Arabidopsis thaliana: one gene and its partners. The protein of the gene in region 3 interacts with the protein of the main gene of each other region in a pairwise test. Each region holds a gene or a part of one and is shown on either strand. Other genes may lie near its edges. The genes, in order: AT1G12440, AT4G14490 and AT3G12130.

The links.
Region 1: the proteins of AT3G12130 (region 3) and AT1G12440 interact in a two-hybrid assay, tested with the Arabidopsis thaliana proteins (one large-scale study listed by BioGRID).
Region 2: the proteins of AT3G12130 (region 3) and AT4G14490 interact in a two-hybrid assay, tested with the Arabidopsis thaliana proteins (one large-scale study listed by BioGRID).

The regions. Positions count from the first base shown.
Region 1 is NC_003070.9:4,239,952-4,250,584, forward strand, and holds AT1G12440 (A20/AN1-like zinc finger family protein), read right to left. Parts: upstream 3,251-10,633; 5' UTR 2,857-3,250; exon of another isoform or gene 2,409-2,856; 5' UTR 2,372-2,408; coding exon 1,865-2,371; 3' UTR 1,470-1,864; downstream 1-1,469. Other genes in the region: AT1G12450 (SNARE associated Golgi protein family), read left to right, coding at 4,545-4,805, 5,003-5,239, 5,342-5,559, 5,662-5,857; AT1G12460 (Leucine-rich repeat protein kinase family protein), read left to right, coding at 7,752-8,905, 8,999-10,493. UniProt on the Arabidopsis thaliana protein: May be involved in environmental stress response.
Region 2 is NC_003075.7:8,326,419-8,337,099, reverse strand, and holds AT4G14490 (SMAD/FHA domain-containing protein), read left to right. Parts: upstream 1-3,520; 5' UTR 3,521-3,525; coding exon 3,526-4,686; 3' UTR 4,687-5,297; downstream 5,298-10,681. Other genes in the region: AT4G14500 (Polyketide cyclase/dehydrase and lipid transport superfamily protein), read right to left, coding at 78-499, 582-663, 1,187-1,270, 1,358-1,534, 1,980-2,142, 2,336-2,709; AT4G14480 (Protein kinase superfamily protein), read left to right, coding at 5,556-7,019.
Region 3 is NC_003074.8:3,862,630-3,874,034, forward strand, and holds AT3G12130 (KH domain-containing protein / zinc finger (CCCH type) family protein), read right to left. Parts: upstream 4,053-11,405; 5' UTR 3,778-4,052; coding exon 3,699-3,777; intron 3,019-3,698; coding exon 2,958-3,018; intron 2,464-2,957; coding exon 1,857-2,463; 3' UTR 1,442-1,856; downstream 1-1,441. Other genes in the region: EML1 (Emsy N Terminus (ENT)/ plant Tudor-like domains-containing protein), read right to left, coding at 6,492-6,770, 6,844-6,912, 6,984-7,229, 7,351-7,419, 7,551-7,724, 7,841-7,958, 8,047-8,156, 8,249-8,335.

The DNA of each region.
Region 1 (10,633 bases), on a different chromosome or scaffold from region 3:
ATATTGATCATAGGATTTGGGGAGATATTCTAGACATGTAAAATGTCCAAAATCGAAAATTTATGTTTAAAATCGAAAATTGAATTCATATAAAATTGTTTTTTTTTAGGGGTAAAACTATGAATTACAAAAGGTTATACGACTGATGCAACGTCAGATCATTCGATATTGCATCATGGCCTGAAAGTGGTTTTTTCCAAAGGTTGCAATGTCGCAGTAAGTACTTCATTGTTCCACTATTTTTTCATGTATAAGAAAGAAAAATAATAAAGCCTAAAGCAAAGAAGTACAAAACATGTTTCACAGTTGAAAACTAAAAGTCTACATGTTCATTTGTTAAGTTTTATAAAGAAAACTGTAGTGCACTGCTTTTCTCTCTTTGCTTTTTGTAAATTGGTTGATAAGATCCGAAAAATGGACCCAATATTGTAATGTAACCATCAAGAAGTGAAAGTGAAAGTGAAAGCAACAGTTTACCCACACCAAGGACATATGTTCTATCATTTCATAGTCTACCTCAACTCGTCGGTTGCAGTCTTAAGTTTTGATATCAATTTTTGTTTGTTACAGTTTTTCATAGTTTAGACAATTTAGAAACCGTATTGAAAATCAAATCCAGTTTCATCTAGTGAAATTTCAGATCAAAATCAGTTGTATGCGAAGACAGTATATAAAAAATTTGGATGGATACTTCTTTTATAAAAATAGATCAGATGCAACTAGTGCACTTGATTGTGGATATTGACATTGTTCAATACACACCATTCAAAGATCTGCATTGGCATTGACTATTCCATCTTTTTGCTAAAAACTTTTGATGGGTTACACTTTAAACATAACCCCAACGAGATGAAGATCATACAAGCACAGGGAAATAATCTTATGAGCATCATTGCTAGGGAATATGTATACACAAACGACAGAATGTATTCAATCTACAGTCATCGACTACAACACCGAATATCCCAACTAGTTCAAACAAATCGATCATGGCCAAAACCGAGCCTCAAGTCTTTAAAGTTTCTTAAGCTATCAAAGCATACTGCCACTACCAGGCAAAAATCACTGATTTCGTTCAATCACTGGGCACTATCACCTAAACATCTCTTAATCTGCCATGGTTCGATATAGGTAAACTACTTTGACTACTTCATTGGATCCACCATAAGCTATATAAAAACTCCACTTACTCTAAGTCCCACAACTCTTAAGTGAATCAAACTTTGTCCAGGTAAGAAGAACACTACTTTCTCCAGCTAAGACAGAGAAAGCAAAATCAATGACTCATTCAATCAAGGACACTTAACACCTAAACTAAAGACACATCTAAATCTTCCATGACTCGATAAAGATACCCTGAACAACATCTTCAGCTTCAGAAATTTCAAGCTACATACTTTATCCACCATAAGCTATAATGCTATATACAAACCCCAACTTGTTCGTCCACTATAAACAAACCAGGGGAATCCACCATAAGCTCTATACGACATCTTTAGTTTCAGAACTATCAAGCTACACACTTTTATCCACCATAAGCTATTTACGACCCCCAACTAGTTCATAAGCCTCATAACCAAGAGAATCCTATATCTGCAAACAATTCAACTTCTCCAAGTAAGAAGAAGTAAGCTGGTACCAATAAGAACACAATTTCATAATATAACCAACACTTTATTACAGAACAACAAATCCAATGTTGCAAAACATGAAACCACATAATAGCAGAATCTAAGGCCTTTCCTAAGAAACCCTAAAAGCAAATAAAACCATAATAAGAGCAGAAAACAGAGAGCCAAACCACCAACATCACGAGACTTGAAAATAAAAAAACAAAAGAGAACACAACAGTTTCTTCACCAATTCATATCCTATCAACCTTATCAGCCTTCACCACAGGATTAGCTTTAGCAATAGCTTCTCTCGCAACTCCTTTGAAATCGAATTGGCACTCGTGACTCTCTGGATATCTATGAGTTCCACAGAAAGTGCTTCCACACCTACACTTGAAACCCGTCACGCCAACTTTCTTGTTACAGCTCAAGCATCTCGTAGCCGTCGATTTCGGTGGATCCAACGGAGCAGCAGCCGAATCACCCCCTCTCGTTGATGAGGAAGACGATCCAGATCCGAGGACGCCTTGAGTGATTTCTTGGCTCTGTTGTGGTTGAGTTTTGGGTTTATTAGGGTTTAGAGATTTCTCGACGGCGGCTTTAGCGGAAGCGGTTTGTTCCTCCGTGGCTCGGATGTCTCTGTAGCATTTAGAGCAGAGGTTCATGTTCGATGGAGATCCGAAGAAGCCACATCCTTTGACGCAGAGCTTTGGCTCTGAAGGAGAGAAGCTTGTGCTGTCGTTTTGCTCAGAACCCATAATGGAAAGATCTCCCAATTCCAAAGTCGAAATCTTACTGCAAAAGAAAAGACAACACAAATCGTGAATAACAGATGAAGAATGAATTTGTGACTTTAGGTTTAGGGTTTTTATTTATGATTCCGTCGAGAAAATAAAGGGAAATTGACAATATCGAAAGATTTAGAAAACGGAGATTCTTGGCTTGTTTCTCAAGCGAGAAAGACTAAAATTATTTCTCATTTATGACTAAAATACCCTTGGAACTCTTTATAAAGTCGAAGAGTAAATGCGTCATTTGTCAACACTTAAGACCAGGTCAGCGTCTATCTCACAAAGACCACTTTACCCTTCCGGCGCAAAAAAGGACAAAAAAGAGATAGATAAGAGTTGTTTAATCTTCGCCGTCAAAAACTTAAATCGAATGGTTCAAGAATAGATGAAGGATTCAAACGAAGAACACAAATCTGCATATCGGCACAGAACAAAACCAATAAGATATTTACCTAATTCCCACCCAAAACTCTGCTTTAGTATGTCGGCGACAATTCTCTCGTAAAGAAAATCTCTGACGGTATGTATCACTGAAAATTTCCGATAGAAACTTCGTGATTTGATCGGAGATGGAGACCGTAACCGAAACCTCTTAGCTTTCGCCAGAGAGAAATTAGGACAGAACAGAAACCAGACTCTTTTAGTTCTTTTGCATTTGTCTTTGTGGTCAAATGGTTTATTCATATGCGGTAAGGCGCACGGAAGATTTAATACATCCCTGATAATATTCGTTCGATGAAACAATCGGAGAGTGATGACGCCATTGTTTACTAATCCAACGGTGGTGATTGGAAGTTTTTTGATGAGATAAAGTGGATATAAAATGGGTGGGGTTATCAACTTTTTATGGTGTTTGTGGATTACGATAAAGTTGGTTCGAGTTCGTGAAGATAATCGGTTTTATATGAACCGGGTTTGGTTTGTGGGGACATGCTTAGCTGGTTGGACGGTGACGTAACAGTAGGATAAAGAAAAAAGGTGGCGCGTTTGTCCCGACGCGATTAGTCCATCGCTCTTTTGATTTGATCGGAATGTGATGATATGTTGTTCCAAATGTACTCTTTCTTCCTTGGGCCTTTTCAATTATCTCTTTCTTTTCTTCGCTAAAACGACCGGATTTTAAAAGTGGTCAGGTCTTTTCTCACTGAGTTTACTTGCAAATATCAACATGACTAAATCGTTTTAATTTACGTAAAGTGTTTTGGACACCACTATATCTAATCTTGAGCTATAATTTGTTTATGCTTGTCCTTAAAATCGAGACTAATTCAATTTCCATTTATCTGGTTTGGAAACGACTAATCGAAATCCAAAATCATCGAACGCTATCATTCAAGACGTTATATTAGCAAGCGACTCTCACTCGCGACTGCATCCTTTTTTTTGGATCCAATACTGACCATAAGGTCCACAACCAAATTAAATTTGATATAGTTTGTGAATTGTTTATAGGGTCCATAAGCTTCTTAGTTCTTATGCTCCTCTTTGGTATGGTATTAATACTTCAAAACGTAGCTATCTAATCTATATATCATCTATCGATATGTTCATTTTTACAGGGAGTCTTGTTCTTATATTTTGCTTACAAGTATCAACTTTGGTTGCGTTTCATTCTCTTGTTCGATCCTCTCGTTTTCTTTTATGTTATGCTCCGTAATATATATAAATTGCCTTCAAGCAACTAAATTTCAATAATTAAATATGTTACGTATTTCTTCTGTCAGTACGATGTATGTACGCACCGTAACGGCAAAGCGAAAATAAAGCGCCGGTCTAAAGCAACTCTGCTTACACATTTATCGGTGGTTCGTGACGGAGCAACAGCTATTAGCCACTCATATGTCTCCACATGTTTGACTACGACACCGGTTTAATAAGTTGAAACTAAACCACCTAATTATAAGGATATCATTTTTTAAAAGTTTTTAAAGCTAAGAACGGAAACGAATAATAAAGATTCTTTCTTCTAACCCCATTCGCTCTCTCCGATCAACACAACATTTGATCTAACGGTTTAATTTTCTCGAGAAACCGAAGGAAAACAAACAGAGGTGCATAACGATTCTGACGGAAACTTTTGAGATATTTTTTTTAGAGCCAAAAGGATTCACTTTTTTTGGTTTTATCTTCGCATCGATCTATGACGTACAGCAATGGCGTCGATGGGACGGTGCCTGAGCTGAAATTGAGAGTCGAAGAAGATTCCGATAATGGTGATTATCTGAAATTGAGAGGAGGATCAAATGAAGAAGATGAAGGATCATCGGCGGAATCATCGAGATGTCCGATAGGATCGGTTACTTCTGTCTGGTTCTGGGTGAAATTGATCTCCTTGGTCGTTTGTTTGGGTTCATTGGCCTTTGTTATCATCAAATGGGTTGGTCCCTTTTTGATTGAAAAGGTTCGTTTTTTTTTTGTCTCTCGAAGATCTGATGCTTATTGGTTACATTTGATTGGATTAGGGTATGCATAATGATTCTGGTTTCTGCTGGGTTTTTAATTGTTGAAAATTAGGGTTCTTGAATTACATGTATGAGTATGTGTTTATAAGGAAGGTTATTCATTTATCATCATTAATGTTGGTGTGATTTGTTTCAGGAGCTGATTCCATTTATAAATTGGGTGAGAAACACATTCAGCATACCGGTTCTCGGTCTTCTACTATTTGCCTCAGTGGCATTGTTTCCAAGCATTCTTCTTCCTTCTTCCCCTTCCATGTGGATGGCTGGTCTTACATTTGGTTATGGAAAAGGGTTTCTTCTGATTTTATCAGCTGCTTCCATCGGTGTTACTCTTCCTTTCTTAATTGGACATCTCTTCCTCCACAAGATGCAAGTAAGCATCATCATCCCATACTCTTTGTTCGGATACTTATTATTAAGCTTGTACCATGAGATGATCAATTTGGACTTTTTTTCTTTCTTGTCATTTGTGCAGGAATGGTTGAAGAAATACCCTAAAAAAGCAGCCATACTTAGAGCTGCTGGTGAAGGAACCTGGTTTCATCAGTTTCAAGCAGTCACACTAATCCGTGTCTCTCCATTTCCTTACATCATTTACAACTACTGCGCTTTAGCGACTGGAGTTCATTATGGTCCTTATATCTTAGGCTCTCTTGTTGGAATGGTTCCTGAGATCTTTGTCTCAATTTACACGTACATGCCTCTCTCTCTTTCTCTATGTCTCTTGTCTCAATGTTTAAGGCATGTTCTGCAGAATCTTAAGACTGGTGGTTTTCTGTTTTGGGATATTTGCAGGGGTATAATGCTAAGGACACTAGCAGTTGCATCAGACACGAGACACACACTTTCGGTTGTGGAGATAGTCGTGAATGTTCTTGGCTTCTGTGTAACTGCGAGCGCGACTATAGTCTGCACAATCTATGCGAAGAAGAAGCTAAGTGCGATGCAATCAGAGGACGTAGAGACATTACAAAATCCAATACTTTATTAACTCTTTTCACCATGACCACAACATACCATCATCTAACACGATCTTGAAATTGATAATATATAATGTTTTTTTTTTTTTTTGTTATTCTTATTCATTTGAAAATGAATATTTATGTCTTTTTCTCTTGTATATATGATATGTATCAATTGAATTTTGAAAATTTCCAATGTATATTTATTAGATCATCTAAGTCTTTTTCTTTCCTTGCATATAATCCACCTTATGTATCATGGAACAATGTCTTGTTGGGTTTTGTTCAAAAGTAAAAACAAAAATGATCCATGAAGACTGTGTGTCCTCCTATGTTCCATGAAATTTATGTATCAAATGATCTTTGGAGCTAACTTCGATGCTGAGTGTCAATGATGACGTCATCTGTTTCGGTTTTGTTGACAGAGTAGTCAACGCGAGAACCTCTGTGATGTTTGGGTTTAGTGCCACGTTATTGGGCCGTCGGACCAACTGCGCCAACTTCAATTTCATATGGATAGGTTTGGATCAATTTCATATGGATCATATGATACGTTTGATGTATTTAACAAGGAATAATTTCCTGGCAATTTTTATTACTTGGTCTGAATAATGATGTAACGAGTGAAGAAAATATATAGCGTATCTTAAAATTAAGCATAAGTATTGAAAATCATCGAAAAAAGGAGCAAATCTGGCTTCATATAGTGAAAATATTGCTATGAAAGTCTCTGATAGACCTTAAAAAAAAAAAAAAGCAAACCCGTTTACTATATGAGCCATGTCTTGCACACCAGTCTCAAACCACAATAATATCTTCAAAACAATCAAGAAAGAAATGGAAAAAAAGGAAGAAGAACAAAATGATTAAACAAACTCAGTAAAACAGAGAGAACAAAAGCTACAGAAACAAACAAATAACAGAAAGACGTTTACTTTTGGTCACTCACTTGTCTCTGTCTCTAATTCTCTTCCCTTTTTCTAAAACCCATTAGTTTCCAAAAGTTTGATTTGGACCTCAACTAATGAATTAACCCCAAGCATTTCACAAAATGAAACCTACTCTCACTCAATGATCTCATCATAAGCCATGTAACATTCAACATTGCCTAAAAATAACTCATTCATTCTTACTTCACAAGTAATTTATCTTACTCCAAATAACATCTCATCATTTGAATCGAATATTAAATGTACAGTTCTCTGTTCATCATGCATTCAATATGTTTGTAACCACCAATTGAGATTGGGGACCATAACTACTTGTTTTTTTCTTCATGAAAAATTGAGAATTCATATACTCCATTTTTGTGAAAAGAATTAGGTAGGGATTATTTAATGGCAAAAATGGTTGGTGAAGGAGAGAATAAATGCTTTGGTAAGAAGTACAGACAAGCCAGACACTCTCCTCCATTACATACACATATAGACGATTGAACAAAGCAGGCACGTGCTTCTTCTTCATTTGGTGGAAGCCAGAGAGTGTGAGAAAGACTGAATTTAATACATTCACCAGTTTACTTTCCAGCCAAGGCACACACTCTCTTCTCTATAATGCTTAGATGAGACTAGCCTGACAACAAATTCCTTCTTCTTTTGTCCATTTTTTTGTTCAAAAACTTGCAAATACTCTTGAATCTGTGATTCTTTCTTCTTTTGTCGTTTCTTGAGAATGTTGACTTTGGTCGGTAAAATTTTCTAGCCGTTAAGGATGACTAAGTAAATGCAGAAGCAGCTCAAAAGTTCTCACCTTTAGCTCAATCCCAAGAAAAATCAACGGTTTTGTTTTATAAATGCAGCTACTTGTTCTTGGTTCTGGTGTTAGAGAACAAATCCCAATTTGGAGCTCGGGTTTAATTTCGGGTTCGGGTTTGGATCATGAACCGATAATGTCAATTGGGTAGGATCCGTTTATGAGCTGAATATGAGAAAGGTTCATCTTTTTCTGGTTTTGGTTCATTTCATCTACATTTCAACTTCTCGCTCTGATTCCATCAGTGAACGAGACATTCTGCTTCAGTTCAAAGGCAGTATCAGTGACGATCCATACAACAGCTTGGCTTCTTGGGTTTCCGATGGTGACCTCTGCAATAGCTTCAATGGAATCACTTGTAACCCACAAGGTTTCGTGGACAAAATCGTTCTGTGGAACACAAGTCTCGCCGGAACCTTAGCTCCGGGATTGTCAAATCTAAAGTTTATTCGAGTTCTGAACTTGTTTGGCAACAGGTTTACAGGTAATTTACCGTTGGATTACTTCAAGTTGCAAACTTTGTGGACGATTAATGTTAGTTCCAATGCGTTGTCTGGTCCGATTCCGGAGTTTATTAGTGAATTGTCTAGCTTAAGGTTTCTAGACTTGTCTAAAAATGGTTTCACCGGAGAGATTCCGGTTTCTCTGTTTAAGTTCTGTGACAAGACCAAATTTGTTTCACTGGCTCATAACAATATCTTTGGATCAATCCCTGCTTCAATTGTAAACTGTAACAACCTCGTAGGATTTGATTTCTCTTACAATAATCTGAAGGGAGTGTTGCCGCCTAGGATTTGTGATATTCCTGTGCTTGAATATATCTCAGTGAGAAACAATTTGTTGTCTGGTGATGTCTCTGAGGAGATACAGAAATGTCAGAGGTTGATTCTTGTTGATTTAGGAAGCAATTTGTTTCATGGATTAGCGCCTTTTGCGGTTCTTACGTTCAAGAACATAACTTATTTCAATGTCTCTTGGAACCGATTTGGTGGTGAGATTGGAGAGATAGTTGATTGCAGTGAAAGTTTGGAGTTTTTGGATGCTTCGTCGAATGAGTTAACCGGTAGGATTCCTACTGGTGTTATGGGTTGCAAAAGTCTCAAGCTTTTGGATTTGGAGTCTAACAAGCTGAATGGAAGTATCCCGGGAAGTATTGGGAAGATGGAGAGCCTCTCAGTGATCAGATTAGGGAATAATTCTATAGATGGGGTGATACCAAGAGATATTGGAAGTTTGGAGTTTCTACAGGTTTTGAATCTGCATAATCTCAATCTCATTGGTGAAGTTCCAGAGGATATATCCAATTGCAGAGTACTTCTTGAACTGTAAGTTTTAATCGATGTTTTCGAGAATTTATCGGTTCTTGTTACTGTGTTTGAATCTCACATTGTTGTTAATCGTTTGCTTGTTGGTTGCAGAGATGTTTCAGGGAATGATTTAGAAGGAAAGATCTCTAAGAAGCTATTAAACTTAACAAACATAAAGATTCTTGATCTGCATCGAAACCGTCTGAACGGAAGTATCCCACCTGAACTTGGAAACCTCTCCAAAGTCCAGTTTCTTGATCTTTCACAGAATTCGCTTTCAGGGCCAATCCCGTCTTCCCTCGGGAGTTTGAATACTCTAACGCATTTCAATGTCTCCTATAACAATCTCTCTGGTGTTATCCCTCCTGTTCCAATGATACAAGCTTTTGGATCTTCTGCATTTTCGAACAACCCTTTCCTTTGCGGTGATCCTCTTGTAACTCCCTGCAATTCACGTGGAGCTGCAGCAAAATCCAGAAATTCTGATGCTCTAAGCATTTCGGTTATCATCGTTATTATTGCGGCTGCTGTCATCCTCTTTGGTGTCTGCATTGTGCTTGCTTTGAACCTAAGAGCTCGTAAAAGGAGAAAAGATGAAGAAATACTTACAGTTGAAACCACTCCACTGGCGTCTTCGATTGACTCTAGCGGTGTGATAATTGGAAAGCTTGTTCTTTTCAGCAAGAATTTGCCTTCAAAGTATGAAGATTGGGAGGCAGGTACAAAAGCTTTGCTCGACAAGGAAAATATAATCGGCATGGGATCGATTGGATCAGTCTATAGAGCATCTTTCGAAGGAGGAGTTTCCATTGCAGTGAAGAAGCTTGAGACCTTAGGAAGAATCAGAAACCAAGAAGAGTTTGAGCAAGAAATTGGACGGCTTGGAGGTTTGCAACATCCGAATCTGTCTTCTTTCCAAGGTTACTACTTTTCCTCAACAATGCAGTTGATTCTCTCTGAGTTTGTCCCTAATGGTAGCCTCTACGATAATCTACACCTAAGAATTTTCCCGGGAACCAGCTCAAGCTATGGGAATACTGATTTGAATTGGCACAGAAGATTTCAGATTGCTTTAGGAACTGCAAAAGCGCTCTCTTTCCTTCACAATGACTGTAAACCGGCGATTCTTCATCTCAATGTTAAGTCCACCAACATTCTTCTAGACGAAAGGTACGAGGCAAAGCTATCGGATTATGGGTTAGAAAAGTTTCTTCCGGTTATGGACAGCTTTGGTTTGACTAAGAAGTTCCACAACGCGGTTGGGTACATTGCTCCAGAGTTAGCTCAGCAGAGTTTGAGAGCGAGTGAGAAATGCGATGTGTATAGTTACGGTGTGGTTCTTCTTGAGCTGGTTACAGGTAGAAAACCGGTGGAGTCTCCATCGGAAAACCAAGTCTTGATCTTGAGAGACTATGTGAGGGATTTGTTGGAGACTGGTTCAGCTTCTGATTGTTTTGACAGAAGGTTGAGAGAGTTTGAAGAGAATGAGCTGATTCAAGTCATGAAGTTAGGACTCCTTTGTACGTCCGAGAATCCACTGAAGAGACCGAGCATGGCTGAGGTTGTGCAGGTTCTTGAATCAATCAGAAATGGATTTGGATCATGATGAAGCTTTTTCCCTTTTTTTGAGCAAAGATTGCATAGGAAATGTGCAGATAAGTTTATTCTTTTGGGATTTTCCAGTTTTAGATTTACGTTTGTTCAATGAAATTGTTACTCTGGTTTACACAATACCACACCGAGAAT
Region 2 (10,681 bases), on a different chromosome or scaffold from region 3:
ATACATTTCCCTTAATTATATGCATATGTTTCTCTTTTCTGTCAAGGGAAGATATAATAAGAATACGACAAGGTTTCTCACCTACGAGCCAGTCTCTGGCCAGCTCCAGCCAGTAAAGCCTTGCCAATGATCCCAGAGTGAAGGCCACAAGCCAATGCGACACCTCCTACAACAACCCATTTCCAGTCCATTCTCAAATGGTCCCGTTGTCTCGCATATTCCATTGCTCTGCTTCTGTCTTCATCTCTTGAAGATGATTCTGCAGAATCCATGTTCAGTTTTGTAGTGATTCTTGCCATTTGGGCGATCCGAGATAGAGATGAGTCTGATTTTCTGGCGGATTGGTACGCTCGTAAACCAGAGTTTAGCTTCTTGACAGCTCCCCACATGCCATGACGGACACCTAACTTTGCTACGTCTTTTGGGATGCCCATGTCTTCGTAGTGGACAAGGGAAACTTCACAAGCCGTTTGCTGTCCATCTCCTTTTCGGGATTCAACTGCATTTGTTTTGAATTTGCTTTAAAATCAAAATCTATGCCCGTCTTAAAGAAAAAAAGACTTGTATATCAAAAGGCTTACCCGCTCTGATAACCCAACTTGAGAAATAAAGCTCAACACGCCTTGGCTTATCACGCTTTGGTAGAGCTGGATAAGGAACTCCCTACAATATTGAACAGGTGTTAAGTATGGTTCTGAGCTTTGAGCTTTGTTTAGAGCTGGATAAACCTAACAAAGAATACAACCTTATGCATTTTGTGAATAAGGCGCTTATCTTCAGAACTAAGGCGCTTATCTTCTTTGATATTTCCATAAAACGCATCTCCTAGAGAAGTAGAAGCATACTCCATGCAATATCAAAGAAGATAAGCGCCTTAGCTCTGAGCTTTGAGCTTTGTTTCAGCATAAAAACTTAATAGGATGTTTAGGATAAACAGATGTTGGATACTATTTGATCAATTTTTTTCACTGATAAAGTAATGATGCAATGAAACTTAATAGAACTAGAAACTAAGAGACAATGGTCCCATGAATTATCTCCAGACATTCAGAATTGTCAAACCTAAACTTTGGTGTTTTGTCCCCTACAGAATTCTGGCGTAAACATTTAGAATTCTCCAGACATGTGGAATGCTACACACTTGTTCTGTGGAAGGCAAAAACAAGTTCTTGTAGCATGACATTACCTTTGTGACACAATAATACTTCTTCCCAGACTCCCATATTCTCCGGCCAATGATATACTCTCGGTCACTACAGAAAAAAGGAAACTGCAAGCAAAAGAAATTAGTAATGACAACAGTTTTTAATGTGGGAATTGTTTATTAAGATGACCAAAGTATCAAAAGTCCAGAAACCTTTTTTCTCCACTGAACAATCATTGTTCCTGTCTGAGTGTCCTCCTCCAACGTTTTGAAGTTGGCAAGCATGAAATCCCATTTAGGTCGAAACTCATCATCCCAGAAGAAATCCCTAACAATATCTGGAGTTGCATCCTCAAACACAGTCCGGCTGCGATAAATAACAGGACCTGTCTGATAAACAATACGACCTATCAGGCTACAAACACAATTTGATCAAATGTTTCTATCATCTAGTATTTAAGAATTCCCCATTTCATTATAGCAAGAACACAGTTTCAAGTAAAATGTCACAAAAATGCCACACAAAGGGGTAAATGCAACAACGCATCACATCGTGCCCAAAAAGAACCAAAGCTAAACAAAGAAACACAATGTATACTACTAGACACCTAAAAATTGATCGTCTATAGCTATCCTTAGAAACATATCTCCCTCGTCATTACCAATAAACCTAAAAGCAGTGGTCTGATTCAGATGTCATTCAAATTACTCTAAAGAATTCATTTTTTCGACTATTCCGCCTACTACTCAATGACTTAGCTTGTTCCTTGAGCTACATCATTCAGGCGTAGCATAAGGAAACGGATACAAAGCAAGAGTATAAAACTTAGATTACCTCAGGCTCATGACGCCAAGCCTGGTAGCTCATATTTGGAGTAGTCTTATCCATCATAGATTGCCATTCCAAAGCTGCATTTCCAACTTCAAGCAGCTGAAGCAGATGCTCTAAATCATTCTCTGTCACAATATCCTCTGTCACCGTCCCGTTATCGCTACCTCTGCAAATATAACCAATCCATAAATCAACTAATGCAAAAAAAAAAAAAACCATTCTTTTGCCAATGCTATTGCGAAACTAAAAGATAATGCAAACACTATATACCTTATCTAGCTAAATTAAAAGTAAACGTTACGTTTTAAAACAGAGAACTAAAACTTCTACATCTTCCAATAATTAAGCATTACACTAACCTTGAGGCCAATCCTGATTCATCATTATCCTCAACAGGCGTCTGCGACGAAGCTGAACCGGTCGCCGATTTATTAGCTCTGGTGTCATTCCTTGACCAGATGGTTCGGCAAACGGAGAAAGCAGAGAGAGCGGTGAAAGCAAGCCAAAGCCGACGAGCACCAAACCCAGGCGGTGCGGTCCATAAAAACCGAAGCTTAGAACGAAACCCTAAATAGATCAAACCGGTCCATCTTGGACGCCAAGACCATCCGATTAATAACCCGATCATAACGGCGAGCCAAATCGGAACTGCGCATAGTAAGATGTCGACAAATGTCTCTGTAAAAGAGGGATTCTTAAAGAAATTCAATAGATCAAAATAGGTCTCATCCATAGCGGATTCTCTAGATTCGATACTTTACTCCGATTTGGATAAAAAAATTTCCCGAGAAAAAATGTCAGATTCCCGAAGGAAAATGGGATTCGAAGATCGCTAAAAATTTAAGCGACATGAATCAGGAGAATCAAAGACGAAGACGAAGAAGAAGAAGAAGGGATAATAATAATTTTTTTCTTTTTATTTAATTGAGTTTGGTGATTTAATTGATTAAATCATAAAAAGAAAAAAATGTGTTCTGATATTATTTGCTGTGCTTGAAACGACGTTGGCGGGTGAAAGGAAATGATAAGGACAAGCATAGTGGCGATGACGTGGCGCTTTCGTTGACCGACAAGTTATATCCCACGCGTCAGATCTTAGCGCGTCGTGTTCACTACGTAGAGGAATATACTCAAAAATCAATTATTGTGTTAGCATTAGAAGCACGTTTTGTTGATTTGCAACAATTGTAGATAAGAGCCTAATTAATTTATAGGAGTAAGGTTAAATTTGGTTGATTTCGAATATAAAAGGGAATTTTAACAGTGGATATCCAAATGATGAGGTGAGATACACGCGAGGGTAAAGGAGCGTGAGGGGAAAAAGGTTGGAAAAAAAGTGGATAAGGGAGAGATAAGTTTGCTGAGAGATTCACGTGTGTTGCTGGAAGTTTGGGTAATCAATAATGCCAGTTGTTTAGCCAATAGTAGCTTTTAGCCTTGAAATTGTTTTATCGTCGAAACGATAAAAGCCCATTTAAGGCCCATTAATAATTGGAGCGTCAGACAAATCAAAATTTCAAAATTCGCATTTGGGAGAGAAACGGTAACAATGGTTACGCCATCGTTGAGATTAGTATTCGTCAAGGGTCCAAGAGAAGGCGATGCTCTAGATTACAAGCCTGGATCTACGATTCGTGTTGGTCGAATCGTTCGTGGTAATGAAATCGCAATTAAAGACGCTGGAATCTCCACTAAGCATCTTCGGATCGAATCGGATTCTGGGAATTGGGTAATACAAGATCTTGGATCTTCCAACGGTACTTTATTGAATTCGAATGCTCTTGATCCAGAGACGTCGGTAAATCTCGGAGATGGCGATGTTATCAAACTAGGTGAGTATACATCTATTTTGGTGAATTTTGTGATTGATGATTTTCAGGAGAAGAAGCTTACGAGGAACAATAGGCGTCAGGCTAATGCGAGGAAGCGAATTAGGGTTTTAGAAAGTATCAATTTGGGGGATATCACTGAGGAAGAAAAGGGTTTGGATGTGAAATTTGAGAACAAGCCGAGTTCTAGGGTTAGGAAAGTTAGGAAAATCGAGGATTCGGAGAAATTAGGGATTACTGATGGATTACAAGAGGATCTGGTGGAGAAAAATGGAAGCTTTAGGAATGTTGAAAGTATTCAGAGTTCATCTGTAAACTTAATTAAGGTTGAAATGGAGGATTGTGCAATGGTGGAGGAAAATTTAGGGAGGGGATTGAAGAAGAGAGTGAGCAGTAAGGCTACGAGGAGCAAGAAGATTGAAGAAAGTGTAGGAAAAGCTTGTTTGGGAGTGGTTAATGTAGAGAAGGTAGAGACTTTAAAGGAGAAGAGGATTACTAGGGCTACAAGAAGCAAGAAGATTGATATTGTTGGAGATTCTTATTTGGAATTGGACATGGTTCTAAATCGAGCCAGAAAGAACAAAGGGAAGAACAAGAAAGCGGATCAGAAGCCGTTGAAGAGCTTTGAAAATGATGAGGTTACTGATTCAGGAGAGCAGGGTTTAAGCTGTCATGTTGAAGAAGATATGAACAATGAACTTGATACAGATCTAAGAAAGATGACATTAGGAGCATTGTTCAGTTTTCTGGAGGGTCATCTGTCAAAAGAGATAATTCACAAGACAGAAAATATGATTGAGCCCATGCGAAGTAAAACTCAGAGAGTTCGTGAGTATATTTCAGATCAAAGAAAAGTTCAGGCTAAAGCGTGTATGTGTTGAATTGACAAAGTGTCCAACTGATATGGTGCACACTGATTATTGGTATAGCTTCAGTTCATGGAATAAGAAACACATACTGACAGGTACAAGTTTCTTATGAAGTAGACCTTAATGCTGTGGGATTGGCTGTGTTGCTTAGAGTTTTGACTGCATTGATTTACTTGCATTTGCTTTACGTGTGAGACAAAGTAAACAGTGAAGTGCTGATGTTTAAGTAGGTTTCATAAGTCTTTTGCCCACTTTATAGTATATGTTTCAAGGACATCCCTGAAGACTTATAAAACAAGTTCTGTTCCATTGTGATTTTATCTTAGCATATTGATGTTTGAATACTTGATCATTCATTTTACCAAATGTCAAGAAGGCTGACGTCTTTTCTCTAGTCTTTGTTTCCTTCTCATGTGGTCAAAGGCAAATGCAAGTTCTTCAGAAATGCCATGAAAAAAAAGTTGTAAAACGAGTCTAGATATCTAAATCTAGAACTTTAAATTTCTGTGAAATGATGAAAATAAATTTTCATAGCTCCATTTAATTTTTGTACCTTTACCGGTTTGAAGTTGAAATGATAGTGTTTGCCCTTTGGGTCCCTGGAAAGACCAAAGGTAAAATCTCATTAACTAAGGTTAGTTAGTTAGCTCTTTCACATGCTTCATCTTATTGTTTCATCAACATATTTTTAAGTAAGAGATAAGGGTTTTGCTTTTACATTAAAGGCTCTCTTTTTTTTCAAGTTCACATGCTAAACCAACTCTTTCTTTTTTCATCCCTATATGAATAGCCTCATGGTACTATTAGCCTCTAAAAGACCACAATTCCACTAAAAACATAACAATTCAATAAGCAAGAGTGTACTCATCTTCTTTCTATTTATGGCTCGGAACAAGCTCGAGTTCCCTCTTGATGCTGAAGCCTACGAGATCATCTGCAAGATAGGCGTTGGTGTTAGTGCTTCGGTCTACAAGGCCATATGCATTCCGATGAACTCAATGGTAGTTGCTATCAAAGCCATCGATCTTGATCAGTCGCGGGCTGACTTTGACAGTCTTCGCCGTGAAACCAAGACGATGTCTCTGCTTTCTCATCCGAATATTCTCAATGCTTATTGTTCATTCACCGTTGATCGATGTCTCTGGGTGGTTATGCCATTCATGTCTTGTGGCTCTCTTCATTCGATCGTCTCTTCGTCTTTTCCAAGTGGGTTACCAGAAAACTGCATTTCCGTCTTCCTCAAGGAAACTCTGAATGCAATCTCGTATCTTCACGATCAGGGTCATTTGCACCGTGACATCAAGGCAGGTAACATTCTGGTAGATTCTGATGGATCCGTGAAGCTCGCTGATTTCGGAGTATCTGCATCCATCTATGAACCCGTGACATCTTCCTCTGGAACAACATCTTCTTCTTTAAGGTTAACTGATATAGCGGGAACACCGTATTGGATGGCTCCGGAAGTGGTTCATTCCCACACAGGGTATGGTTTCAAAGCAGACATTTGGTCTTTCGGGATAACAGCGTTGGAGTTAGCACATGGAAGACCTCCGTTATCTCACTTACCGCCGTTGAAGAGTCTGCTCATGAAGATCACCAAAAGGTTTCATTTTTCTGATTACGAGATCAATACGAGCGGAAGCAGCAAAAAGGGTAACAAGAAGTTCTCAAAAGCTTTTAGAGAAATGGTTGGTTTGTGTCTAGAGCAAGATCCTACTAAAAGACCATCGGCAGAGAAGTTGTTGAAGCATCCTTTTTTCAAGAACTGTAAAGGACTCGACTTTGTGGTCAAGAACGTGTTGCATAGCTTGTCAAACGCAGAGCAGATGTTTATGGAGAGTCAGATTTTGATCAAGAGTGTTGGAGATGATGATGAAGAAGAAGAAGAAGAAGACGAAGAGATAGTGAAGAATAGAAGAATCAGTGGGTGGAATTTCCGTGAAGACGATCTCCAACTTAGTCCAGTGTTCCCAGCTACTGAATCAGACTCTTCTGAGTCCAGTCCACGTGAAGAAGATCAATCAAAAGACAAAAAGGAAGACGATAACGTCACAATAACGGGGTATGAACTCGGTTTAGGTTTGTCGAACGAGGAAGCTAAGAACCAAGAAGGTGAGGTTGTTGGGTTTGATAAAGATTTGGTGTTAGAGAAACTGAAAGTGTTGAAGAAAAGTTTAGAGCATCAAAGAGCAAGAGTGTCGATTATAATCGAAGCATTGAGTGGGGACAAGGAAGAGAAGAGCAGAGAAGAAGAGCTTCTAGAGATGGTGGAGAAGTTAAAGATTGAATTGGAAACTGAGAAGCTAAAGACCTTGCGTGCTGATAAAGATAGTGTTTTGGGTTAACTATTCTAAACTTGTTAATATTTTTTTTCTATATGCTAAAATTATATAAGTGGCATGACATTACGATCAATTGTTTTCAATTTAACTCGTTTTATTTGTCAGTTTAGAATGGCTCCAAATTAAGTTTTGGTAAACAAGTTATATATTCACCAAAACAACATATAAATATTTCCTCTTCATAAAATTTAATAAAGAACAATAAAGTAAAATCACAACAACAAAATGTAAAATTGATATGAATTACAAATACATATTCCCTATTTACTGATGTACTTCTTAGAATCAAATTTACTTTAATAGTCTACTAATTTGATTGTATTTTGCATCTTCAAACACTTTCATCTCGAAAGAAAAAAACTTAATGTTTTTTTTTTTTTAATGTAATGTTAAATTAGATTCAAAAGAAAAATGTCTTTTGTACAACAAGTGCAACGTGAGTTTGAAAAAGGCTAAATACATTTTAGATCAAAGAAACTAGTATAAATTTCTTGTTGCAAACCAAATTTGAAGTCCCGTCTCATGTCTTCTTTCTCCGCTTGTGTTCAGTGAAGAAAGTCGATCTCTTACTTGCTTGTCTATCCATCGGATTAAACGCACCGGTGGATTTGGTTGTTCGCCATGCCGCCGATTGTTACGTTTCCTCCAGATAGTATGAATCGTTGCTTGGAAGACATAGTGAGCTATGAACCGCTTTGTTCGATCTTGCCAATGACCCGAAGTGGCTGCAATCAAGTCATTCCAGTGAGTAGTATACTTTGCTCCATAGATGTTCCTTGTCAGAGCCTGCCAAATTTCTGAAGCGTAAACACAAGAGAAAAAAAGGTGATTTCTAGTTTCCAGCGTGTGATTACAAAGAGCGCATCCTGTGGAGAGTCCCTGTTCCAGCTAAGCATGCGATCTCCTGTTGCTAAACGATTGTGAGCCGCCAACCAGACGCAGAAAGAGAACTTGGGGGTCCCTCCTGCAAACCAGACGCTCTTGTGCCAAGTGACTACAGGCGAAGGTGTGCGAGTATGGTTCCAAGTATCTCGTGTTGAGAAACGTGGCCGATAAATATCCTTTCTCCCTTTCCAAAGAAAAATGTCCTCTGCCATCACTCTGTTTTGTTTCACCAATAAAGTTCTTGTTCAATGTTATTTAGAATTGCTGCTCGATGCGTACGTGAGCTCCTTCCGTCCCATGCCTCTGCAAGCGTCTTATGCTTACTAATCCCCATATCAATTTGGCCACGTTCGCCCACGACGTCAATCAATCTGCCCATGGTTGACCAATCATCATACCAAAATGAAGACCTTTCGCCATTTCTAATATCAACCTTAGAGAAATCTTTTGCAATGTTTCGGTATTTCAACAACTTTTTCCACATCCAAGAGCCTTGTTGTGCTGATCTAAGGGACCAGAAAGTGTTGTGCTTTAGGAGGTGGGTCTTAATCCACTTCACCCATAGCTAATCACCATGCGAGACCATTCGCCAAATAAGTTTCAGACAACATACATCATTTGCCTCTTTGATTGACCGCAGACCCAATCCTCCCTCTTGTTTTGGTCTACATATTGTATCCCAAGCAATCTTAGCCTTCTTAGTACTTAACTCTGGTCCTGACCAAAGGAAAGCAGAACAAAGCTTGTCGATTTCCCGAATACACTCACGTGGAAGCCTGAAAGCAGAGAGCCAAAAATTACATATACTCCATAAAACCGAACTGATCAAATTTAGACGACCCGCGTAGGACAAGAACCGGGCTGTCCATGTTCCTATTCGTCGTTTTATCTGCTCAAGAAGCGGGTTGTAGTCCTGAGATGTGAGTCTCTTGGTGACTAGAGGTAACCCGAGATACCGCACCGGGAGACATCCTACTTCAAAATGAAATTGTTCCTCAAACTCTTGGCGCACAGTATCAGAAATTCCTGCAAGATAAATTGTTGTTTTCTCCATGCTAATCTTGAGACATGATTGTTTTGCAAAACTGTCAAAGACCTCCACAATACCCTCAAGGGATCGAAGTTTCCCATCTGTGAGCACCATGATATCATCAGCAAAAGAAAGATGTGTTAAACCAAGATTTTTACACTTTGGATGGTATCCAAACTTCCTTAAGCCTGCAGCTCTGTCAAGCTTCTTGGATAGAACATCCATGACAATGACGAAGAGATAAGGAGATAGAGAACAACCCTGACGCAGCCCCCGTGAACTATTAAAGTATCCAGCTAGTTCCCCGTTAACCTGAACCGAGAAAGATGCTGTGGTAACGCAAAGCATGATCCAATGAACAAAAACTTGAGGAAAATCAAGAGTTAAGAGGACATTCTTGAGGAAGGTCCATTGAACTGAATCAAAAGCCTTGGAGATGTCAATTTTGATAGCGCAGCGTTCTGAGACTGAATCTTTATGATAGTCCTTGACTAACTCCGTTGCGAGGAGCAAATTTTCGATTAATAGGCGATGTTCCTTCATATAACTTTGGTCCTTTACAATGATTTTGAAGAATCTGGAAACCCTATATCAGAAATTCGTCGATTCTACATGAAACTCTACCCGGCCCTGAACGTGTTGCATAGCTTGTCAAACGCATTTAGTGATATCAAAATCTGACTCTCCATAAACATCTGCTCAAAATCAGATTTTGATATCACTAAACGTATTCTCAAAATCATTTATGCAGTAAACAAAAATATCACTAAACTTTAAAACCAACCCAAATAAGCAATCTGGGGGTTTGATTATGGGCTAAAATAGATGAATACGTTGGGCACAAAATACTAATTCCAATATATTTCATCTTGTTTCTACAAACCTGACTAACTGACCACCCAATCGGTTCTAGCTAGTCCCAAAACTTTGGATTTTGAACTTTGGTGATATTTATAGAATCATAAACAACAGTGGGATACCGGAGTTATATATGAATGTGAATTTGGTCATAGCCGATAGCCTAGTAGTCTAGTACCATAAATCCATAATACGTAATATAAAGAATAGTGTACAGTTCAACGGAACGGAAGAAACAAAAAAAGTAGAAATGGAATAGTAATTTACACATTGACAATAAAATACCACTTATATAACAAGTTTTTTTCAACTAAGTTTTGTAGGTAAACTGACCATCTCCATTGGGAGTATCTCATAAGAGTTTCTCACAATTAAAAAATTAAAAATAAAAAAAATGAAGGAGAGAGAGTGTACAAAGTTTCTCACTTGAGAAACTCCGAGATACTCTATACAATTCATCATGATAATTCTCATCTCACTATTGGTTCAATTTTTTAACAAAAATACTTTTTTAATCAAATAATCAAATTATAATATAATATTAATATTTTTTTTGTTTGAGAAATTTTGTGAGTTTCTCATTGATGAAGATGCCCTAAAATTACATAATTAAGCTTTTTCAACTAAGTTTAGAAGATAACATACGATGAGACAAAAAGAAAAAGTTTATTATGTGAATAAGATATCATGAACAAAAAAAGAAGAAGATGTGGAACCACATTTTATGTATTTCATTTTAATTTATACTACTAAATGTTGCAGTTTTTATGTAAAAATAAAATAATTTTGAAGAGAGGGTTGCCCGGTATTTACGGGAGGAAAAGCATGTACACGTGGGAGATGTTGTATCGGTCAAAGCTTCAGTTTCCTCTTTTGTCTTTTTCTTGTTTCA
Region 3 (11,405 bases):
CGAGAGAAACTAATCATTGTATGAATGAGAGAGTTCATTATTATTAATGGTGACAGAACATAAACAAACATCAGATTCTCGACCAAAAGAAAAAAACAGAGAAACAGAGAATCGAGACCAGATCTAAGGTTGAATGTAAGGAGTATAAGCAGATCTATCGTGAGCGGAGAAATTCACAGAGCAGGAGCTACTGGAAAGAAATAAGAATCAAAATCGAAAATGAGAAGAAATGGAAGAGAAGCGACGGACCTGGAGATGGAGCTGACGTAGGGGCGATAACGTTAATAACGATGAACACCCTACGAAGAAGAAGCTCCTCCGCAGAATCTCTCTCTCTCTCTGTCTCTCTCTCTCTCTCTCTCTTTTTAATTTGTGAGTGTGTGGCTCTTCTTCTGGTGGTCAGATGGGGAATGGCAAGAGACAGGGCTTTAAATGGACACGGCCCGTGGGTCGAAGGTAGAGAGAGAGAGAGAGAGATGATTTGATGACACCTTTCCCTTTCATACTGGGCCCCCACCTTCTTTTCTTTCCCCTCCTCTCTTATTTCAACCTTTTTAATCAATTCAAAATATCTGGTATTTTTATTTACCGCAAATAACCCATTTTTTACTTGTGAAAAAAATATAACAGTGAACATTAACTTTTTAATATCACGTTCTAATTTACTTAGTTTCACTTTATAGTCGAAAAGTACGTATATTAATTTATAATCACTAGTAAAGTATGGATTGAAACTCAAACTAATCTCTAAAATATGTAGAAATTACCGAATATTGTGTAGTAAATTAAGATGTTTATAATAACTAACTTTAGAATCATATGAAAAGAAAGAATCGTAAGTGATGGGAACCAAACCTTGGTCTTAACTCTTAATACAATACACATGGCAAATCTTTCACCATTATAACTTAACCATTTGATTAACACCAACTTGGTTGGATTCAACTTTTTTATATTTAAGTTTCGTCTCTATTATTACTAGTTTGCCACTTACACAAGTCGTAAGCAGTGGTAGGCGGGGAAAGGGCTAAAAGTGGAAAAGAGAGTTCTTACGTTTGGCTTCTTCTATCATGTGAAACATTAAAATATCTACAGACATTGTGTTGTGGTGGACTGGTGGTCACGTGTATGGATACCCAAACGTGATGCACTTTGGTAGATTCGTGCGGATTTTCTCTTGTTTATGTTTTCAATTGTAATCTTTATTATATTATTAATCAAATTAGGTGGCGGACGGAAAATACAAGTACAAGTTAATGCAATCAATTAATTGGGATGATTAAGTTAAGTCTCTTGCATTGGACTTCTATTTTTCTATCTATCTATTTACCGCGTATAACGACGACACACCTTAATTTCAACATTTTTAAGATCACCCGTCACCAACCATTTATTTTGATCTTTTTCTTCTATCAATCACGGATTTTTATTAAACCATTTTTCTCACAAGAAACCACATTTTTGTTCTTAATAAGTGTTAACTGATCTCGATTCAAACAGTTAGCAAAGACTCCAACATATTCAGAAAATCTTACGAAAATTATATAAGTGATTCACACACATGACATAACGGAGATAACAAGAATATGAATAAAAGGCGTCATACAATCCTAACCACTGTTTCTGAGTTTTGTCAATCATTCTCTTCAAGCTTCCTCCCATCTCAATTCATACTCAGAATTAACCAAAAACTAAACTATTAAAAAAAACACCAAATAGACTTACAATGATAATGAAACTAAAATTGTATTCTCTCATAACAAACAAAAACAAAGTAGGTGAAGATGATATCAGATATCACCACCACTAAATAAGAAACTAGTTTTACCAGCAAATTCTCTATCTGCAAGCAACAACTAGACGATTCCTGACTTGCGTAGCTCTGCTTCCCCATGAGCAAAGTGACATCTATCACCAAATGTACAGTTTCCTTTTGAGAATCTCTCACATATCTTAGTCTTGAAGTTGCTCCCTGGATGTGGTTTCCCTTCAGAACCCATGCCACCACCACCACCAAGACCACCACCAGGTGGTTTCTTAGCTGCTGAATTAAGCCTCCCAATCAAATCTTTTACCATTGCACTCGCTTCGCTTATCTGCTCAAGTGTTCCTTCAAGCACAATGTTCTTCAAGTTTGGGTCTCTCTCGTGATCTTGAATTGATAATTTTACTCCCGTCTGACGACATATCTGCTTTGAACTGACTCCGCCTTTCCCAATGATTGCACCGGCTAAAGAGGCATCAACACTGAATCTGGCAGTGGCTGAGTCACCAAAGTTAGAGACATGGCCAGGCCCAGACTCTCCCCTCCCTGAGAATCGGCCTCCATTACCAGAACCTTGCATGTTTCTGGAAACTTGAGGAATGGGTGGTCCCATATTTGTCATCTGCGATACAGCATTGTATCCTCCGGGAACATAATGCAAGAAATGGCAATTCTCTCCGAAAGGACAGCCAGAAGTACTGCAATAGAAGCATAATACATCAGAGATTTAAACACAATGGGAATAGAATAGCACAAGAACAAACCAAATAGAGACAGAAGAAATAGCATATTGATACAGCAATGATCATTGTGCTATAAGAGAATAAAAATAGTAATCCGGTTCTGCTTATAGATGCGCGGCAATTCCACTAGTAATGCGACAACTTTACCTGACCATAAACAACTATATTATAAACCCAAAATCACTAATACCCTACCACCAAATAGAAGAACAACTATCACAGCTCAAACAAAATACATGTTTTGGTTGATTTTGTTATGTTATAACAACCAGTTGAACTAAATGATTCTCAAACTAGATACGCTTATCTATTCAGATTGAAACATGTTTACATACCTGTATAACAACTAACCACTTCATTAGCATCTAGTATTACTTGGTAATTTCGGGATCAAACTTGCAGGTAGATAACAATTCGAATATTAATTCATTAAGTAAAAGGATTATAACCTGAAAAATTTTGTGCATGGCTTCGATTTGCTTCCTAAACCAGTTGAATATGATTCCATCTCTGTTCCAAACATTAAGTGTTTTCCTTTAGTTAAAAACTTATCTGAAGTTCAATATATTGCTTTTAGAATCCAACATATCATTCATACATTCATCTTATCATCTATATGAAACTTTCAAATCAAAAGATGCATAATGTTTTTTAATGTTTTCAGGATAACTAACCAACTGGACACAAAAACACTTTGCAGAGGAAAAAGGCTTATTCAATCAACAAAACTAAATCCTTGGTATGGTTATAAACTGTTATTAGCTTTATATTTGAGAAGAGGGATTAAAGTAAAGAAATACTAAAACTCAAGGACAGTGGAAGATATAAGCTTGAGACCAACAAAACCCAGTAATTAACATTTAACAATAGTAACAACTTAGCTAAAGCTGATCTATCATCACTCAATTTAGATTTACATCAGATAAAAAAGGCCAGTACTTTTTGCAGTAATCTAGCTAATTAACAAGATAAGTAAGCAAACAGAACACGAAATCACCAAAACAAAGCACCGAGAACGAAAGAAGAAAATTTTGCCTCCTAGTAAATCTCATAACTAGCAAAAAAAAGTCTTAATTTTACCCACAACTTAAGATCTCGAATTTAAACCTTAATCAGAGACAGTGAAACATAAGGAACTAAAAAAGATCGGTACAACAGAATTCCAGTAGATAAAGAGTAAAAGAACTAACCTTGCTTAGACTTCTTGTATCCGCCGCCATTGGAGTTGAATGAGCCAGCTTCAGGCCGTCCTCTCTTACGAGTATCCATGATTAAGTATAGATCCGATACGAGAGTAGAAATCAAATTGACTCTAGAGTCTAGAGAGCGAAAGGAAAAGCGAATCGGAGAAGACAAATCGAAATCGGAATAGGGAAAAAGAGTTAGAGAGAATAAGCGAGAAAATAAACCTAACCCTAAGGTGGTTGTCGTCGAGGGAAAAAGATGAGATTTTCCTCTTTTTTGTTTACTCTTGCCGGTTTTTTTTATTGGAACTTAAACCGGCGTGGCCCAGTGCACAAAATAAGATGTAAACCGAAATTTCTCTGTAAAGGACAATAAACCGGAAAGATTTAGCTTAACGTGGGCCGTGAAGTAAGCGGTGCGCCTGTTTACGATAAGCTAAAATGTCAAATGGATGACGTCATGTTTTCCTTATTTGATCTCTTTGTAACATTAACAAAATGGAACTTTTACCGGCCCATTAACGGCCCACAACTTCTTTTAATGGCACAAAATTTCAGTTCGAAGTTACTGAAATCTTGGGATAATGACTATGAAACTTGCAATCAATAAAAATGTCAGCTATAACTATTCGGGATTTGTGGAAGCATTTGATTGGTTTCTGTTTTACCAATCACAGTTGTAAACAGAAAAAATGTTAAATATTGAAAGAAAAAATGTGGAAGAAACAAAAATAAAACTCAATAAGCCAAAGAGACTCAAAAGCTTAAAGACACTCTTGAATGACTTGATAAGTATTCCCTACAGCTACAAGAGCCAAAAATGCTAAGGCTATTAAAATCAGCAAGGGTTGAATATTCTTGCGAAATGCAACAAGTTGGTCCTTGTGATCCTCCCTAATATGTACCTTGGCCATCACAAAATCATCTTCTTGTTTCTCATGATGAGCCTTCTTGATTCCTTCTTCATGTGCCAATTCCTCAAGCCTAAACAAAACGTCTGAATCAACCAACAAGTCTGAAGCATTATGATCATTATTAAGATCAGTTTGAGGGATCAGTTTAAGGATCGGATATTTGGAGTCTGACGATGAACGCGGGAAAGACTGAGATCGACAAACTCGTTTCCGATTGGGACGACACTTATATTCTTGAAATCATATTGCACCATTGTATTTTTTTTCTTAAGAGAGGAATACCAAAGAAGCTTTGCTTAGGCTTTGGGAGAACAAACGAATGCATTACATGTTTGTTCTTTAGGAATAGACGATAGAAAGGGAATAGGCAAAATATAACTACTTAGAGGGATTAGGCCAAATCTAAAAGAACACGGATTAGTTGGGAAAAAAATGGTGAATATTTTCATTGTCATCTACCTAGTTTCCTTTTTTTTATAAAAAAAATCCTTTTAATATTATCAAATAAAAAATAATACCTAATGAATTTAATTTTATTAGAACAAATTCCATTATTCTAAAAAAATAGAGTAAAAATTGGGAAAAAAAGAAGATATGCGTGGCAAAAAAAGAAAGAGGAAGAAGGTAAACGGGTCAAAGAATATCTACGTTGCTTCTACAATTCTCTATTATTGACAGCTTCTTCTTTCCCCTTTCTCTCTCGACTTCTAACAATCGCATAATCTCCGATCATCTTCTTCTTCTTCTCTCTTCTCCGTTATTCCTCCCGATTCTGCGATTTCTCAGCTTACATGATGACTGGAAACCCGATCCCAGTCAATCTCTCTAAGGAGGGTTCTTCGTCTCCAGGTATTTATAAAATTCCTTCTTGAGCTAGGATTTTGTTTGATTCATCGCTTTCTGTGTTTGATTTTTTACATATTTCCTGCTCTCTATAGCTTTATTTCATCATCGGTCTCTGGTGTCGAATTTGTTTCCGGCTCTTGTCAAGTAGTTTGGGACCTTAATACCTTCAAATCCGTTATCTCGTAGGGATTACAAAGAAATCGCAACGAGCTGATTTAGAAGAATTCGATTGAATAAATCAAACATGCTAGATCGAAGATGAATGAAATCCGCTGCAAATTGCAAGGGGGTTAGTGTTTTCTCTACCTTCTCTTATGTCTTCTGCTATGAATGCATCATCTGATTAGCTCCTCGTTAGCATGTTGATGATCACCTTAAGCCTGCTATGACCGCATTGAAGGATTTGTGGAACTTATTTCTACGAGAAACCAGGTGCTTCTTTTGCTAAACGCAGTGTTTTTGTTATGCAAATTCAGATTTTATTGTGCAATGTAATATGCATGTTATGGTCAAGGATACTTTGAGCATGCATCTCAACAAGGCTACATACACGTTAACCTTACAGTATGCATTGTCATGGCAGGTCTAGTTATCTCTTGGAGGTAAACTCAGCAACATTTACATGGTCAATCATAGTCACAGGTTACACTCTCTAAAACAAATACTTGTGCTTACAACCAAAATCCTACTTTCCATTCCCTAACAAATTTAATTTTCATACATTTTCCTGACACCAATTTAGAAGAAACTCACTATTCCATCTTCTGAGCAACCTCTTTGTCAGCCGAGCACATTGTTTCTTCTTAAATCCAGAGTCCTTTGGGTTTCATGACCACAGAATCCTGAGTAACATACAGCTTTTCTCTCATCCCTGTGGCATTGGATGATCATGCGAATATGGTGGATCTCCATCTGATGAGTTACAAGCAGATAAATCAATTATAGATTCAACATGAGGAAGAAGTATGCAATCGAGGTTCAAGAAGCTGGGCAACTATTCAGCTGTTTACGAAGTTACACTGAAGTGGGCAAGTGTGCGTTAAGAAGAAGACCTATATTTCAAGCTATTCAACTGTTTACAAGTTACGCTGAAATCACAAGCTGAGCAAGTGTGTATTAACTCTCTTATTATTTTTCCTAGGATTAAGTTTGTAATTATGCTTGATATTATCATCATAACACAAAAATTCAATGGTAAATAATATATTATTCTGAGGTTGCAAACTAAACGTAGCGTGCTTTTGTTATTATTACCCATTTCGCCATCCGAAGTATCAGCAAGCCTTGCAATGGCAGCAATGAGTGCCTGTTCATGTTCCTGCATCACAAACTAGTGTTATTGTTCTCTGATCACAACATTATACCACATACAAAAGGTATTAATCTCAAACCTTGAGCATTTTCTTGGCCTTGTCGAGCTCGAGTGGATCAGGATGCGTAGAATCGAAAACTCTCTCCACCTAAAACAAAAATTTCATGTTAGAGCAGGCATTGAGCTTAATGGGTATACAGCAGATAAAAAAACACGTACCTCCTTCACAAGCGAGTCTGTGTTGAACAACTCAATATCATCAGAGGAAGTTCTCCGCCCACCACTACCATTCTGTTGTGTTGGTGGCGGTACAAGTTCCCTTCTTGGTTGATGAATTCTTGGTCCTCTCCCTCTACCACCATGGATTTGGCCTCTTCTGTTGCCACGGAAGGATGCACTTCCATGTCCAATGTTTAAAGCTACCCCACTCTCCTCCCCATCCCATCTTATGTCTTCCGGTGGTATCTAAACAATAATAATGTCAGCTCTTATCAAGATCATCAGTATGTACAGACACCAGATCGCTTACGAAAACATATGCAACCACAGGCAAAGAATATTAAGATAATGTTCATGTAACGATTACCTCCTTGAGATCAACCCATTCCCACGTTTCATTAGCTGCGTGTATATCATACACCAAAGCATGCCGACCCTGTGAGAATAAAACAAGTGCGTAAATTGCAAATCCAATAGATAATCAGAGACTTCTATAAAAATTGGCAGGGACAACAAACCATCTATCTACCCAATTAGCAATCTACACTCAATGAACAAAAATAGTACCTCATCTGCATTGTACTGGGTTATAATTGCTTCATAGAAGTGGTTATCTTCAGGCCATTTTGTCCACACTTTTCTTCCGATCAGAGCTTCAGCAGATTCATTTCCTGATATGCCACTGGATACCAGACGATTATTGAATGACCTATTTCCAGTCGCACCAATTGATGGATTATACTGCATCTCACAGATAATTGGTTAAGAAATAACATAAAACAACACAATGTGGCTAACCAGAAGAAAGTATTAAAGAACCATCATTGGTGCAAATACGGCTAGAATATAAGACTTACAGATGGAAATGTTTTCTGTTTCTTTCGGGCAGCTGAGAAAGTGGGACTAGGAAGAACATCAAAAGGCTGAATAGTTGCATGTCTAGTAATTTGGCTTGCGCCTCCCTGTCTCCAATCTCTGGTACAGTTCCATGATACAACATATATTAAAATAAACGAGATTCATGATAAATTTTGTTTATGCTGGTGCAAATAAACAATCTAACCTTATCCTCTGGATAGTATCATCCTTATTGACCCTACTGAGAAGCTCTCGATGTTCATCATCAGATACTCTCAATTCTTTACGCAATTCGGTTATCAAGCTTTCTTTTTCCTAAATTGCGGAAATGGTACAACAAAATATATTCCAGAGATTAAGTCGTGAGACTGACAGAACACAATCAATGCAAAGGAGGAAGAGAGTACCCAAGAAATCGCATCAGACTGCGCTTTAAAAGCCCTTAAAACAGCGGTATATGCTTCCTGCTCAAGTTGATGAATTTGTGTCTCCATATCACTATGTAGTTTAGTTTCAGAGAATTTCCATCCAAACGAAAGCTATCCCTTTTAGAGATTTACAGTCATGTGGAAAACAGTTGCTATCAGTAATTAGAAAGCTGATGATAACAAATTTATCAGCCAACTACTGAAGAACTTTAGAATTGAACAAAATCCAAAGGAAACATAAAATAAAGGCTGCAGAAGCATAAACAAGACAAGACAATTCCCCCTAATTCACGAAACCACGGAAGCTGAACACTTTTTTCGAAACCCTAAATCCTAACCTCGGTTAACCATTCCCTAAACCCTATTTAAGACTTCCGTGCCTAAAACTAACAGTAAGGGTGTTGAATTAGGTAAGAACCAGAACGGCCTAACTCAAGCTCAATTCGCAGATTAGCTATCACAAGGTTCATCATCGAACGCCTAACTCAATAATTGCTCGAACGAGATTCAAAAGGGGCAGAAACGTTTAACATACCTCTGTTTTCGAAATCTAGAGGAAACCCCCACAAAAGGGTTTATCTTGTCGACCGATTCAGATACGAAACCCTAAAACGCTCGAATCGAAACTTGACCCGCAAAAAGCAATTAAGGGTTCGAAGTGCGTTCGGTGAAACGGAGAATTGAGGGGATTGGAACGAGAAGTTGAAAGAATTGGACAAAAAGAAATGAACTTTCCTTCCCCTCTCGAGAGAAGCGATATTTTTTTAAGCGAAGGGCACAGAGAGCTACGATCGATTTCTCCGGGACTCAGATGGGATGGCGTCGGAATCGCCGAACAGTCGTTTTAAAGACGAAACGATTCGTTTTGGTATTAAGATCTCTAAGGCCCACCAATAATAGCAACTTCGGCCCATATAGCCTAATATCTTTTGACTTTTTTTTTTTTTGGTCACACAAAGTCATATTGTTTTGTATATCGTTCCTGATTATATATGGTTTGTTGTGTATGGATGGTTTCTCTGAAACTTTGTAAAGTCTAAATCATGTTTGTGATATATTTCAATGATTAAAATTATGCTTGTGATATATTTCACCAACTAATCAATTTTGTAAAACAAAAATTATTAAATTAAAAATTTTAGTATCGATTTTTAATCCTTACTTTGTCAAATCTATTGCTAGATATAACAACTAAGAAACTAATAAACTTTTATCAGTGTACGTTGTTGATCACTAGCTAGCTACTACATAACGAAACACTTGTATATATGTGATCACTAGATGCCCCCTTGCGAGACAAGGGGTTAAGTTAGTTGAATTGAGACATATGATGATATACTAATCCTAACCTGCAATACGAGAACGAGACTTACGTAGAACCATGCACACTGAGATTATAGAGATACACTTTGAATATCTCAACATCATTCTTACCCTTTTCTTGATATTAAATTCTCTTAATAAGGAACCTCTGACTTGGCAGGCGGTAATGATTATTAACACAAACATCATATGGTTAAAACGTTAATTATTTTTTAATTCGCCAACATTAGACCAATTCAACAAGCCTTAAGCAGAGTCCCACAAAGACAGAGGTTGTGAGAGTAGGCATATGGTTCAAAGGTCTGAAGGCGACCGCCACTTGGGATTTTCCCGCAGAGACTATTGTAGCTCACGTTGAAACGCTCGAGACTTCGTAGGGTAGTCAACACCCGAGGAATCTTACCAAAGATTCGGTTTTGGCTCAGATCCAACGTAAGTATGCTCCTAGCGAACTCAATCTTGGAGATATCGAACTGAAACATGTTTCTCGACAGATCCAGTTGTCTTGTTGTTTTGTTCCGTCCGAAAAACATGGAACCATCTCCGGTTAAACTGTTTCCCGACAGAAACACAGCGTTGAAGTCGTGTTTTGACAATGACTCCGGTATTTTCCCTGAAATGGAGTGTCATAAAACCCGGGATTTATAACTTTATTAATAATAAAGAATGTTAAAAATGATGGTTACCTGAGAGCTGATTGTTAGACAAGTCGAGTTCAGGGACGTTGCCAACAAAAGAACCGAAAGAGTTTGGTATAGAACCGGTTAGCTTATTGTCGTGGATCTCAATGGCTTCAAGCTTGGGCATCTGAGATAGCGAACCGGGAATTGGACCGGGAAATTGGTTAAAGGAAAGGTCCAAGAACGTGAGGTTCTTGAGGTCGCTGATGTTATCAGGAATCGGACCGGAGAAATTGGTGTGTTTTATAAAGAGGAGGTTGAGACTCTTGAGCATGGTGATCGCGGGTGGGATATTTCCGGAGATTGTACTGGCGGAAAGGTAGAGGTAGGTGACGCGGCCGTCAGTGCATTCCACTCCGATCCAGCCAGTACAACAGCCGGTTCGGGGGTTCCAGGAGGAGAGGTAGGGAGGGTTGTTAAGGGACTTCTTGATTTGAAGGAGGGCATTATTGTCATTTGGGTTGCAACTGTAGGAAGATGGGAGAGATAAAGATGATGGAGAAGAAGATAGAGAGATGAAGAAGGAGATTCATTGTGATCATGGGTGTGGTTACTTTGAGCAGTTAAACAACTTGTGATCTATATAACAGAGACTTCAATGGAACACAGCTGTGTAATGTTACTGATTTTGTACAGTTTGGGTTCTACACTACTCCTAAAAGTTCTAACGTACAATAACCTTTTTATAACATAAATTCAATTCATCTCATAACTCATAAAGCATGGTGCATATATATATTTTTATTTAGTTGTTTTAACTATTTGATACGATATTCAATAATTTAACCATACGTTCGTCACTGCACCACTCAATTCTAACACTTCTGTCTTTGTTCTGTTCTTAGTTTATCGGTTGCTCAAATATAAAATAGCTAGAAGTGACTTAAAAAAATCGAGTAATGGAATCGCATATATTTTGTTATGTAAAGTATGGTTTTGAAAATTACTAACTCATAGGATTATGCCATGTGTCAAGTCTATCGATCAGATGTTGACACGTGTAAGAACATAATTAATTTTTTTCTTCTTAAAGAAATAGAAATACTAAAAAAAAAATCAATTAAATTTTTTCTTCTTAAAGAAATAGAAAACAAAAAAATAAATCATTATTAACATATACTAATTCATATATA